Linked DNA regions of Drosophila melanogaster. The protein of the gene in region 2 purifies or fractionates together with the protein of the main gene of each other region. This does not show direct contact. Each region holds a gene or a part of one and is shown on either strand. Other genes may lie near its edges.

Region 1 (7,068 bases), on a different chromosome or scaffold from region 2:
GGTGAAATGCGTCAAACACAATGCCACAAATCGGTGATAATCCGATGGCTATTTATGGTCGGACTTTTGGCTGAAAATCTCATTAAAATCGTATTCACTAATCTGAGATTAGTGGCGAGATTTTGAGATTATCATATGGCCGGGGTCTAGGACTTAGTCGTTATTAATAAAAACTTTATTATGATGCAAATATTTTATAGTTTTTTATTGAAAATCAATCTACTCAGGTGTCTATATGCTTATATTTTGTTTACTTGCTTACATAAGGCATTTTTAAGTTTCTTAACTACAATTGTCTTTAGAAGTTGTTAAAGAATGTCTAAATTTAAAGTGTTGCTCAACTTAAAGGTGTATAATGCGCAGATATTAATGAAATGTGAAAACTATAGTGCATCATCGTATTTCCGCAATACTTTCTAAAATTTTCCCGATATTTTGGTAGCCCCTCGAGCATTTGGTGCCCATTGTAGCACCGGTTGCTTGGAGCTGCAGCACGCCCATTGTCTTACGCTTTCGCCCATGTCTTTTGAAGCTACCCCCCTCCAGTTTCCCGCCCATGCCGTGTCGCGATTAACATTTCAATTTAATTTTATTAAATCATCAAAAGCGTTTAATGTCGATTGCAACAAAGGCCCGTCGCATTATGCAAGTGCAAATGTAACGAAAAGTCATTATGCGATCTATACATTTTTACATAAATAATAACAAATATGCGCATAATTGAAGGCGCCGCTGCAGATGTGCAGACGATGTGGGGTCCACTCCGCACCATTCCGATGGAGGTCAGTTCTCGGACGGATCAAATTATCCGGATCCAAAGCCAATGATCGAGGCGCGGCCAGTTTCAGTTCCAGTTCCAAGTTCTCCATTGTGCCCGGTGGCCAGTTGCCAATTACTCGATCGGATCGATTGGCAATCGGATCGGCGACGGACTGTTCTCCAATTGAGACCATAAATTTCATTTAGACCACTTTGCATTGACGCTCGAATTACGCAGTTTTCTGTGGTGCGTGGCCCGACCTTGAGCGATTAGCCTATCCACCATTCAGTGGCGCACTGCATCGGTAGCCCGGTGGGTGACCCACGCAGGTGGGGCTTGTTCTGTTCTAAGGTCGAACCACTCACGGGCGGTGAGCGACACAAGTGCACTACATGTCCCAAAATTAACATGGAATTCATGTGTTGCCAGTGTCAAAGTCTAAGCCGCCACTGAATAATGGCACTTTGGTTCTAATAACAGCGATTATCATTCAATGATTTAGAATTAAACGCAATCTTGGCAATTAAAATCGAATTAAATAGCTTTAGTATGCTTTACTTTTTATTAAGCGTAAAAAATTCACAAGCAAGTTATTGCCTATTAGTTGAATAATATTATTCAAATATAACTCTTTAGTTCTTGAAGGAAACCGATTTATTTGAAAATTATATATTCAAAAAATATGTAACATAAGATATTTTCAATTATTTAGCTACAAATATAGTAATTGTCTTTGAATCCTACTAATGTTCAATGGTTGTAATATATTTCGATATAATATTCAAGCAATAGCTTTAAACAGAAATCAGCTTCCGTTTTAAAACTCAAGAATCAGAGTAATTTTCTTCCAAATTTTCATTTCCCGTAAAAGAATACTCCATTAACTTTCCATTTGCATAGCTTCGGTTCGTTTATTGCAATCTCGTTTCTCATTCTGCGAGTTCTACTCGAGTGCACAGGCTCGGATTAAATAAGAATTGAAACGGGGATTGTGAGTTGGGGATTATAGAGTATTTATCGCGGTCAAACAGCCTTAAGATTAAGAAGACAAGAAACATAAATGAAAGGTCTCGAGAATGTGTGAGTGTAGATGAGGGAACATTGGATCCGTAACTCAAGGACTGGGCAATCGGAATCCGCTGTCCGTGAATTCGTATGTACATATTTCGATAAATCGCTTTCATTTCCACTAATACTACAACTACTATCGACTATGATCGGCCCATGAGCTCCGGCTAACTGGAGCCCAGGTGGCAGGAGAAGTTGGTCGCGATGTGTCCATTATTCGGTTGCGGCAAGAGGTCGGCATTATTCGAGTGGTGTATATCCATCCATCTGACTTAGTGGTAGCCCAGGGGCGAGAGGGCGGGCAGGGCCAGCTTGGGCAGAGCAGGTCCATAGGCGGGAGCCAGAGCCGGTCCGTATCCGTGGGCCAGAGCCGGGTAAGCGGGCGCCAGAGCCGGACCATAGGCGGGCACCTTGGCCACCAGAGGAGAGGCATGGAGCAGCGGAGCCGGGGCCAGAACCTTGGCCACCGGAGCCACAGCCTTCACCACAGCTCCCTCGCGGCGCACCACTGCGTTGAATCCGTGCACGGGATCGGCGGTGTACTCCACAATGCGGCGGGTTCCGTCGGCCTCAATCAGTGAATAGGCGCCCTGCACCACATCTCCGCTGCGGGTCTCCTGCTGGCTCTTCACGTCACCAGTGGAGCCATCCTGGTGGGCAGAAGGAAGTTGTTGGATTAGCAAAGGATAGGAATAGGTACTTTATATTTAAAGAAATGCCTTGAAACGAATCCTTTGCATCTTATATCCTAAGGATTTCAAGGAAACTATAAATATTTTATATCCAACATCCAACTTGCTCAACCAAGTGGTCGGATTTAATAGTTCTAAGCTTCCATAAACACTTCATAAAAATGTCTGGCAAAATCAAAATTTGCATACCAGTTGCTCAATAAAGCAATAAAATTCGAATGCAGATTTCTGAATTGGCATTGCTTTTTATGAGGTGACTAATAACTTCTTACGAAGCTGACTCACATGAACATCGTAGCTGAAGGTGTATTGGGGATTGGGATCGTATGGCTCCGGACCCGCCACCTTGGCCACCAGAGGAGCAGCCACCTTGGCCAGCGCCGGGTACGATGGATAGGCGGGCAGTGCCAGTCCGGGACCAGGGACCACAACGGCGGAGGACACCGCCACCAGGGCGCTCAGGACGAGGATCAGTTTCTGTGCCATTCTGGACGGATTGCTTGGTGTTTGCGATGGAGTAGTGGAGAACTGGAGGTCTACTGCTGCTCGACTGACAAATGAACTCGATCTGTGGTTCTGTGGCCGCACGACAATTGCTTTTTATAGGCCTCACATAGACGCGAGCCCAAAAATCCGCCACAGCCTCCGCCGCCGCCTGCCACCAGATATTTATGCAAAAAGCGCAGCAAGACACAAAAAATAATAATAAACAACTAAAAAGTGAGCATGCGTGTGGAGTCTGTAGCGGCCTGTGCCTATGCGAAATGCTCGCATCGATCGCGACAAATATAAAATAATTCATTTTTCGCTGCCCATGGCAATCAGAAGGGGCTGTCCGGAGGTGGAGGAGCTGCCGGTCGAGCTGAAGGCGCTGGAGGTGCTTGGCGGTTCACGCATGTCTGGGAGTCTGGGAGGACTGTGCTGGACCAAAGCAAACTGGTCCCACGCCGGCTGAATCGCCGTCGTTGTTGTCGTGACAAAAAAGTTCAATTCGAAAGCGAATTATTTGGGCCTAAGCCGGGTGGCCGGACGGATCAGGTGTGGTGGACGCATGAGCACCAGTGCCTCCCATGTCTCCATGTCTCGACTTTATGGCCACCAGATTGGGGCGACGCTGCACACGCACCCAGCAGTCGATTGTTGAAAGGTGTGTTTGGGGCACAGCCTTCGAAACTGGCTGGCTGCTCTAAGCCGCGCCCACCCAAAAAATCTACGCCAGACGCATTCAATGCACTGCGAGAAAACGAAAAAGTTCTAACCGCAATGAATGTGATATGTGATATTAAAATCTCTACGAAAAAAGTACTTGGATAACATATACAATACAAAAGGATATCAATTGTAGAATATTCTGTTCAATCCTATAGATTTTCGAATGTCATGCAGTATTTTTTTGAGTGTATAGATTTGGTTCTGTTTCGCTGCTCTGTTGCCATTGGGACAATTTTGGCCATTATCACTAATTTTCAACGCGTACCGCCGCTTGTTAGGCGTTGCTGCAGTTGCAGTTGCAGTAACTGCTGCAGTTGCAGTCGGCGCCGGCAGCAACATCTATGGACATGCTCGGGTTGGGGTTTGCGTAATCCAAAAATTGCATCTCGTGCCGATTTTTTACTTTCAATTAAGCTATTGAATAATTTGAGTGCGTGTTGGGCCAGCGAGAGTGAATGTATTCATTTGGAGTGGAAGAGTTCTTTGGGCGTGGGACAGCTGGAGGGGAGATAACCATCTAAGATTGCGGTCTTATGTAAGTGGAATGGGTCAGCTTTCTTTGGCGAATTGGGCTTTTCCTGGTTACATTTTGTTACATTTAAAATTACAAAACCACTTTTACATGGCATGGAGTCACGAAAATGTTCACCAAGTAATTAGTTCCATTAAGCACATAACCATTTCCATTTCTTGACACCCGCAATTATGATGTAATTGAAAAAGTTAACACACTGCTAAGTTTCAAGTTCAAAACGACGATATTTGCATCATAATTAACACGCAAATTTTGATCTTGAAAAAATGTCCATTGAATATCTTGTTATTTTGCACTACTTTTAAGTGTGTTTTTAATTTAGTTCATTATCATTAACTAGGCAAGTATGCATTTTGGGCCTTGAGCTTGTCTAATCAACTGACTAATTAATAAAAATGTATAGGTGTAAATTTAAACTCGTTTCGGAATTTTAGTAGAGCTTTTGATTAATTTTAGTTAATCAACGCCTTGAGAAGCGAATACTTGCGGATTTTCCTTGAATATGATTGAAGGATTTCATGTATTTCTTTGGCTTATTGAGTTTATTGTTTAATGATTACTGACTTTACAACGGACTAAGGAGCAGACAATAAGTTATGTAAAAGCTAGGTTACAAGCAGTGTTAAAGGCTCTGAAAGATTGTGGAGTTAGCCCAAGATTGGAGCAGCCACTGGAGCCACCAATGGGCGAGCAGCCACCGGAACTGGTCCTCGCTGCACCACCGCATTGAAACCGTTGATGGGATCGGCGGTGTAGAAGACGGTGCGCAGTGAACCATCGGCATCGACCACCGAGTAGGAGCCCTTGACCACATCTCCATCCCGCACCTCCTGCTGGCTCTTGCTGTCCCCGGTAAGGGCATCCTGCACATTATAGGCGAACGCGTACTGCGGATGTGGATCCACCTCCGTGTTGAGGGGCACTCCCACTGGAACAGCAGCTGGGAGCAGGGCGCACTCGATGGCGGCGATCAGAGCGCAGCAGATGAGGGTGATCTGTGGGTTAAGTAAGGTGCATTGATTGATTTATGATCAAGATATACACTTGTGCAGATCCTAGTAGTATGTTCAATCACATTCCTTGACCAGGATTCCCTCAACTCACCTTGATCAGGGCCATGACTAGATTTGCTGGTGGATAGTGGTTTTCCAATGGTGCTTTGTGCTTGACAATGCTGTCGGAACTGTCTTGGATTGCCATTGGATCGGGGTTATAAAGGGCCTCCACATTTCCGCGATAACATGCGCCGTGTGGCAACCGCTGCCAAAAACGATTCCATTTGCTGACGTAATGGCCCGTTTTTGTGCCTGGTCCACCTGCAAAAAGTTTCCCCCATGGACGTGCCATCCAATGGCCCAACTTGCACAATTCTCCCCTCCATTGAAGCCCCACCAATATGAATTGTGATAACCGTAAATATAGTTGGCACTACGTGATCGGAATCTAAGATTGGGAGCTTTAACTCGAAGCTCGGGACCTACCCCAATGTTTAACTGGGTTAAGCAGGGGAATGTGGAGCATTCCTAGAAATATTTCAACTTTTCGAATATCACTTCCAACCGATCAGTTCCATCGAACAACTAATAACAATTCATTCAATCTTTTTTTTTGTACCGAAACTTTTATTCAGTAAATGCAGTTACTAATTCACTAAGTGGCCGATAGCCGTTCCCCAGATCCCCAGAACGGTATCCCTAAACGTAGTCTATGGTGGCGATCCTTCGATCGGAGATTGGGAATGTGGGTCAACAGCGGGGTGGCAACAGCACGCACGTCCTTGTGTTTCGGGTTTTGACTGACAGAAAAGTGGGTAAATGCATTAGAACTATTTAACAACGGTCCTACAACTAGGCCATGGAGTTTGTCATCGCTTGGTCCACCGGTTCATCGCCTAGTGGTATCCACCCAGACTCAGACCAGGCGCCGAAGCGTATCCAATCTTGGTGATGGCGGGAACGGCGGCGACGGCAAGAGCTGGCTTGGCAATGGCCACCGCGGCCACGCCCTTCTTCTCCACGACCGCATTGAATCCGTTGACCTTGTCGGCGGTGTAGGTGACCTTGCGAATAGTGCCATCGGGTTCGGCCAGGGAGTAGCTGCCGTGGACGACTCCGTTGACCAGGGTCTCCTCCTGCTGCTTGGAGTCACCGGTGTGATGATCGGTTACTCCGTACGAGAAGCTGTACTGCGGATTGGGATCGTAGGGCTCGGCAACAGCCACCTTGGCCACAGCGACGGGGGCAGCCAGGACCTTGGGAGCATAGGAGATGGCAGGAGCGGCATACGAGATGGCAGGAGCCGCCAGGAGTTTGGGAGCAGCATAGGAAATGGCAGGAGCAGCAAGCAACTTGGGAGCCGCATAGGTGAGTCCAGGGGCCGAAAGTCCATAGGGATCAATGGGAATGGCCACAACGGCGGACAGGATCAGTCCCAAAACGAACAGAGTCTGGCGAGGAATTCCATGATCAGTTGAGCCAACTAAAAGCTGCACTCCTTTGGCCAACTCACCTGGGCAATCATGGCGAAGGATGTGAGAATGAGGGAGCTCTGGTTTGGATGTGTCTGCACTGCGAGAACTCAGCTCAAATGTGAGATGCATTTTCCGCGTGGTCTTCAGTTTTATATTCGAAACTGGCGGCAGCTGCCAGCGGAAAAAAAAACTGGACAATCTAATGGGCAGAGTGACAATTGCGTCTCATTTGGTGGCTGCCCGATCTCGATCTCGATCTTGCACCCCAGACCTCATCGCTGATGGCGGATTTCGTGTTTCTGGTGCGGATTTCATCATTGGTGCTGGCTTT
Region 2 (6,485 bases):
GGCTACGGAATGGAGGTCGAGAGTCACGGCCACACACGGATGTTTCAAGGACATGGTTGTTGTGTTTGAGTGGCTGCCAGCGTGGCCAACGTGTCCTGGCTTCTCCACCAGGTTAAACAGCCCGCGGCTGAGGAATTCCGAACGAAATTCTCACAGTCTTTTCAAACGGAATAGGGCAAATTGAGAAAAGGATCCCGTACATGTTTGGAGTACGTTTTACAAACGCTGTGAACTAATTACATTAAAATACCAATGCTTTGAAGGAATTTATCACGCCGAATGCACAACGTGTTCCACGTGGCGTATACGCAATGCAATCGTTTCAATCAGCAATCATTTCTGGCGCGGTGAATGCTCGAGAGGTTAGCTCATTTTCCAAAGCAAACAATTTTCTACAAATCTGATTGGGATCAAAGGATGTGGATCATTTTCTGATATCATATTACTTATTATGCCATGCTTTTATGAGCCTATCGTATTTAAGGTTCCGCTAAAATGTAAAATGGAAGGGACTTTAAAAGCAAAGTGCGGCACAAGGAAATTAAAATTTTTCCTTTTACAATAATAAGCGAACGTATTGAAGTAAACTTTTAGGAAATGACTATAGTTTTGTCTGGCAACTCCTGTGAGAATTGGAAAAGATCGAAAACTCCCCTCAATTTATGTTGCATTATTAAACTATTTCACTCAAAGTATTTCTTCAGAACCTTGGACAGAACTTTTTACAAGGCAATTTACAAAGGAAAATACATTCGCTAAACTTTAACAATAAAAGTTTGCCAGCTTACACTTTCTTTTTGGTCTAGAAAATCAATTTACTGGTTCAACAAGTTCGTATTACATTCGCTCGACGAAACCATTGTTCAATGAAGATTTCAGTTGACTTCAAAGCAAGTAAAAACCATTAAATATTGAATGGCTTGTTTTCGAAACGTGACTTAACTATTTTCGCAGATTATAACATCGAATTTGTATGCAAATTGAGTTCACATGGATCAAACAGCTGTGTCAGCACTTACCCCTTAAATATTTGCAAATCGGTGACACAAAGCCGAACAAAAACTGTGCAAACAATTTTCTTATTGAAATTGCTGCATGCAATTTACCGCAACAATATGTTTACGAAATCCCGAATACGAATACGAATACGACAGTTCAACGTGGCGTATGCGCAATTTGCTCTACACAGTGGCATGCATATTGTGCGTGTTGTTAACGAGTTTTCGAAGCAATTTCCGTATTAGCGGGCTTTTATTAATTTTTAACTCAATAATCCCCTGCTCACATTGGTCAATTACATCAAATAAATTTAGCCAAGTAAAGAGATAACTGGAAGCGGTTGAATTTTCGCTTTTTTTTTTATTCACGCGCCTTAACAACTTGGCCAGAGCGTTGCTGAAACTCGACTGTGTTGTTGTTCACCAAAAATTACACGCAGTTACCCGATGTCATGTTCCATCACACTCACACTTTCGCACCCAAAACACAGATGGGCTGATGGAAACACCACACAAATGCAAATGGGAAACTTCGAGTCCCTGACGGAAATGTCCGTTAAAATCCCTAGTTTAAAAAAGTGTCTTTCGAAATAAAATTTATTTGCATACTTAATATACCAATATAAGGAAGTAATAATTAAATATTGGCCACCCGTTTTAGCCAAAAAGTAATCCAACTACCGGAAGGAAAAGCCTTTTTTTATACAAAAGCTTCCCAAAGAGCAACAGCTGGCCAATTTTAGAAAAAAGCCCGCGAAATCCGAATCGGTTAACCTTTCCCAAAAGCTTATGTTTTCAAGAAGCTTTTTAGCATTTCCGTTACATTGGGCGTTGCCACCTATTTCTATATATGAAAAGAAATATATAAATTTGTACGACTCATATAATATTATTTTCAGAATCATTGTGTTTACTTAAGAAACATGCATATAATCCTGACTGTTGATTTATTTATATAATACTTTTTAAATATTTATTGTATTTATTTATAATGAATTGCAATTCTTGTCGTTATCTATTTAAATATTTGTATTGCTTCTTTTCCCTGTTTTGCCAAAATTTGATTATGGTAAAAAAGAAAATATAACTTATAATATTCGGACTTCGTTGAACTTTGATTTATTCTTATTTTAGAAGTGATATAGCTAATAAACTTTAAATACAAATACAAGAAAAGACCAATGAATAGTCACTTTTAATTCCGTCCGTGGACTTGACAATGGTTTTGAAAGTACTTAGTACTTATTCAGCCTTATCTTAACATTTTTGCAAAAAATCGCCAGAACTAAATTATAATCTCTTCCCCTACATATTTCTAGACTACTCTGATAACACTAGGCAATTATTCAAATATTCTTGTCGAAGAAAGATTCGCGTTTTTTTCAAAAATGTACGCAATCACGCACACTTAGAATGATAACCTCTTAGAACTGAAATATATTCTGCCTTTTATTAGCAATGCTATTCGCAGGCTTTTTCTAACCATCAATAGATATTTAATATGGATACACCTAGTTCATGTAAACCTCAAAGTCAAAGTCAAATGGTTTAGCCCATTTAAAGAGCTCGTTCAGTTACGACTTTGAATATTTTTGCGGTTAATTACTTAACGTGATAATGCTGATCTTAACACTGAGATGCTAGCATATTAGATTACCAAATCTTGTTAAAACCACACATCAAACTTGAACTCAATTGAAAATAATAAATGATCAATAACAATTGAATCGTGACGTCTTAAAAGTTATTATTTAGAAATAATTTCTTGTTGTTTTTACTTGAATAATATTTATGTTTTATATTGCGTAGTTTGAACTATTTCCTTAGCTTTGCAATATTTTCTATTTATACAATACAATGTACAGAATTAGTGAATGGCGTTCTGTCTGGAATTTAATAAATGGGAAATTAAATAGTCTGAATAATTTCATCAGATCTTTAGTTTCGTAATAATTATTGATTAAACGTACTCACTCCATGTAAAATTAAAATCATTCCCATGGTTCAAATAGTTCAAAAGCGTGGCATAATTTCCGAATCCATTCCAATTTCAAGTTCAAAGTTGTAGTGAGCGATAATATTGAAGTCATTATCTCTGTTCCCATTAGAATTTAGAACAAACGTGGCTTGACACAAATCGTGATTTTTGGCAAACTTAAAACGCATTTAAGTATTAAAAGTAAATAACTCCAGGCTATTAACCCAAAATTTATTTTGATTGCCTTAATGACTGGCGATCAAACGGTTCGAGTAGACGTAATTGATTCGCCCGATGCACGTTTGACTTGTGCCAATAAATCAATTGTAATGCTGATAGGCGCGTTAAATGTCTCCCTTTTAATAATTGCTGGCCCATTAAATTTATAAGGTAGCAAGTAATTAGCTCACTGAGCAATCCGATTAACAGAGAAATATATAATTTATGCTCGTCTTTACGAGCATATTCGGAAATTGACTCATATGAGTACGAGTGACCACAAAACATTATTGCAAAATCTCGCAATCTCAGTGCAATGCCTAGCCCTCCCATGAACATATGTAGATGCAAACCAGTTCGGTTGAACATACATATATGTATATATATATATATAATTATATATTATATAGAAACCGATCTATAAGAGCTTCGCTTCTCTGGACACGAAGTCTTATCACCATGCTGTCGGCTCCATCGATCGACTCACGTGTTGTCATTTATAAAACGATTACAATCCAAGGCATGAATGACACTCCAGTACCGGTGGCTGCACACGAAAGACACTCAAGACCCCAAGTAAAACTGGAACTGAAGCCGACCAAGCAGAACTCAACTTGAATCGATTGCCGGCTGTCTGAAGTGATCGGGCGGCATTACAAATCGTTGTATCAAATATTAGTAAAAGTGAAAGTAATTGCATACTTACAACATGTCATCCGCGTTGACGAACCTCTTGCAATCGCTGAGAATTGTGCCCTTGGGACATGGAAAGTCCAGTAATCAGGTGGTCGTTGTACCAAGCAAAAAGGAACGTTTAAAACTGGAAGATCTGCCGGAGATCGCATTGGAGGAGGTGGCCCAGCACGACAGCTTCGACGATTGCTGGGTGGTAATCTACGATAGGGTCTACGATGTGACACACTTTCTAAGGGATCATCCCGGCGGCGACGACGTCATTATGGATCACGCAGGGCGAGATGCCACCATCGCCTTCCATGGCACAGGACACTCGGGGGATGCCATCGAAATGATGAAGGATTTCTTGATCGGTCAACTGCCCACCAAGCAGCACATTTTTCGCACTGGCAAAAACAAGGTTTTGTCCCTGGGCATACCGGAATAATATAATGCCAGCCGATTTTGCACCGATCGCCTTCGCCGCCGTCCTCCATGTCGTATATGTCTATATATATATATATTTTTAGAGTATTCATCGACTAGTTTTCTAGTTGTAATCCGCTTATTTCGAATTCCGCTAAACGGCTTTTGCTTAATCATCAAAAACCATACAGACAACTATGTATGTATATTTATATGTTAAATATTTTTGCCAAGACTTGAAACGGATCTAAGATTATATTATTTTAAATTTGATTGTGCTCTTTGATGTTTGTTATCTGATGACTATAAATGGTTGGTTGGGTTGGGCGTGTTTGAGTATTTGAAACTCTTATTTTGTTTGTTTGTTTGATGATTCTGAAAAATGACAGGCTTCTATCAGTGCTGATGGGTAAACCTAAATGACCAAACCCTTTTCCAACGACATACTTTCTACTTCAATAATACTTTATTCGGTAATATTCATCTTACACATATTGGTTGACATTGGGTAAATGCATAAATAAGAAATGCTTATGACAAAAATAAATATCACTGAACAGATTTTCACTTGGCTGCTCTGATAAGAGGCTCCTTATCAACCTCCTTTCGTCTGACTAGTACACAAGTATTTGGCATTTGCTTTCCAATTGACTTAAAAGTATTGCTCATTAATGGATTGCTTATCAGTTGAACCATAGTTTATGGTGGCCCCCACTCCTATTTAACTGCTGCTAGTCGGTGGTTCGTTGTGAGGTCCTTGAAGAAGAGCCTGCAACTTGGCAGCCGCCGGAAATGCACCCAAATCCAGTGGCGCTGCTCCCGTGGTGCTTTGTATATAGGCCAAAAGTCTAAAAGTAAAAGCATATATGTTAATAATTCCTATTGAGCGTGGTAATGAACTACGTTACCTTCTCAACTCCTCGAGAGCATTTTGCTGCATCAGAATGTAGTTCTTAGCCAGCAGCAAGGTGGCTATTTTCGACAGCTTTCGCACAGAAGGCGAATGGGCATAGGGAATCACACTTCTCAGCTCATCAAGGGCATCATTCAAATCGTGCATCCTTCGTCGTTCCCGGGCATTTATGTTCAGCCTTACCGTCTTTCCCTGGCGGTTTTTCTGCTTGCCACTGTTGGAGCCACTTCCGCTGGCGCCACCACTGGACACGGCCACCGTGGTGGTGCCACCACTGATGGCAATGGCTGCGATGGCGGCGGCCGTGGGACTCAATGGCTTCTCCGGAGCACTGGGCCCTGGTTTGTTCTCATCCGTCGGTGGCTGCTGGGACATGCCCATTCCCTGGGCATAGAAACCACCCAGACCAACCGATCCAAGTGGCGTCCGACGGCCGGGGACGCTTTGTGGTGGGCTGGCGGTGGGTGCTGGATGCTGGCCACCAAGCATATTGGCTGTAGGAGGTATTGGCATGTGTCCGTGGTTGGGGAGACCGGGAAAACCAAAAGCAAGATTCGAGGGATCCATTTTTTTGTATTTTATGGGACTTTTCCAGCTGTGAAAAAAAGGTTGAAGGGATGTGTAATCTTTTAGGGTAGTCCTTGCAAATCAAAGTTATTATGATGCAGGGTTGCATAAGAAAACTAAAAAATAGGGGTGAATACTCGTATGCTCAGCTGTTCGGTAGCGCCATCTGTCGGAATTTTATGTATTTAATAGGTTAGCAAAGCTTTTTATAGGTGGAGCATCTGTTTTGTGTTTTAACCCGAAATGGTTTAACAAATTGCAAACGTCTGTCAGGTATTCCTTAAATTTAATTAAAGCAAAATAATCGTTAAGCCTTTCGGAAATTCAAAGCCAAAATATTACGCGGTAGTCAGATTAACAAGATGAATATAAGCTTATCAAAGCTTTTCATAGGTGGCGCTGTGTAGTAGTCCAATTTAAGGGATGGTTTAATATGATGTTTCATGGCGAATACAATTTTAGCGGCATTAAATTTATTTAGGAGCGCAGCACTTCAGAAAACAATAAACTTTAAAATTATACGTCAATATATATAAATAATAAATTTGGCAATTATTAACCCAACGAAATGGATTATAAAATATGCAAAATCGACGCAGCACTTTATTTAACTTGCAGTTAATTCATGACACACTTAAAAGATTATTAATTTAAATTAACCACAAATCACAAGTTCGCCGGTGTACGAAGGGGACGAAGAGCACAGAGC

Evidence for each region. The genes of interacting proteins can lie anywhere in the genome.
Region 1: the proteins of CG6870 (region 2) and Cpr64Aa purify together in Drosophila melanogaster (affinity purification with mass spectrometry, with the first as the bait; one large-scale study listed by BioGRID). This does not show direct contact.

The regions. Positions count from the first base shown.
Region 1 is NT_037436.4:4,206,087-4,213,154, forward strand, and holds Cpr64Aa (cuticular protein 64Aa), read right to left. Parts: upstream 3,093-7,068; 5' UTR 3,007-3,092; coding exon 2,806-3,006; intron 2,479-2,805; coding exon 2,101-2,478; 3' UTR 1,752-2,100; downstream 1-1,751. Other genes in the region: Cpr64Ab (cuticular protein 64Ab), read right to left, coding at 4,915-5,262, 5,372-5,386; Cpr64Ac (cuticular protein 64Ac), read right to left, coding at 6,159-6,713, 6,776-6,787.
Region 2 is NT_033779.5:17,589,531-17,596,015, reverse strand, and holds CG6870 (uncharacterized protein), read left to right. Parts: upstream 1-3,716; 5' UTR 3,717-3,904; coding exon 3,905-4,318; 3' UTR 4,319-4,701; downstream 4,702-6,485. Other genes in the region: Sytalpha (synaptotagmin alpha), read right to left, coding at 3,683-3,692; Oli (olig family), read right to left, coding at 5,018-5,144, 5,205-5,776.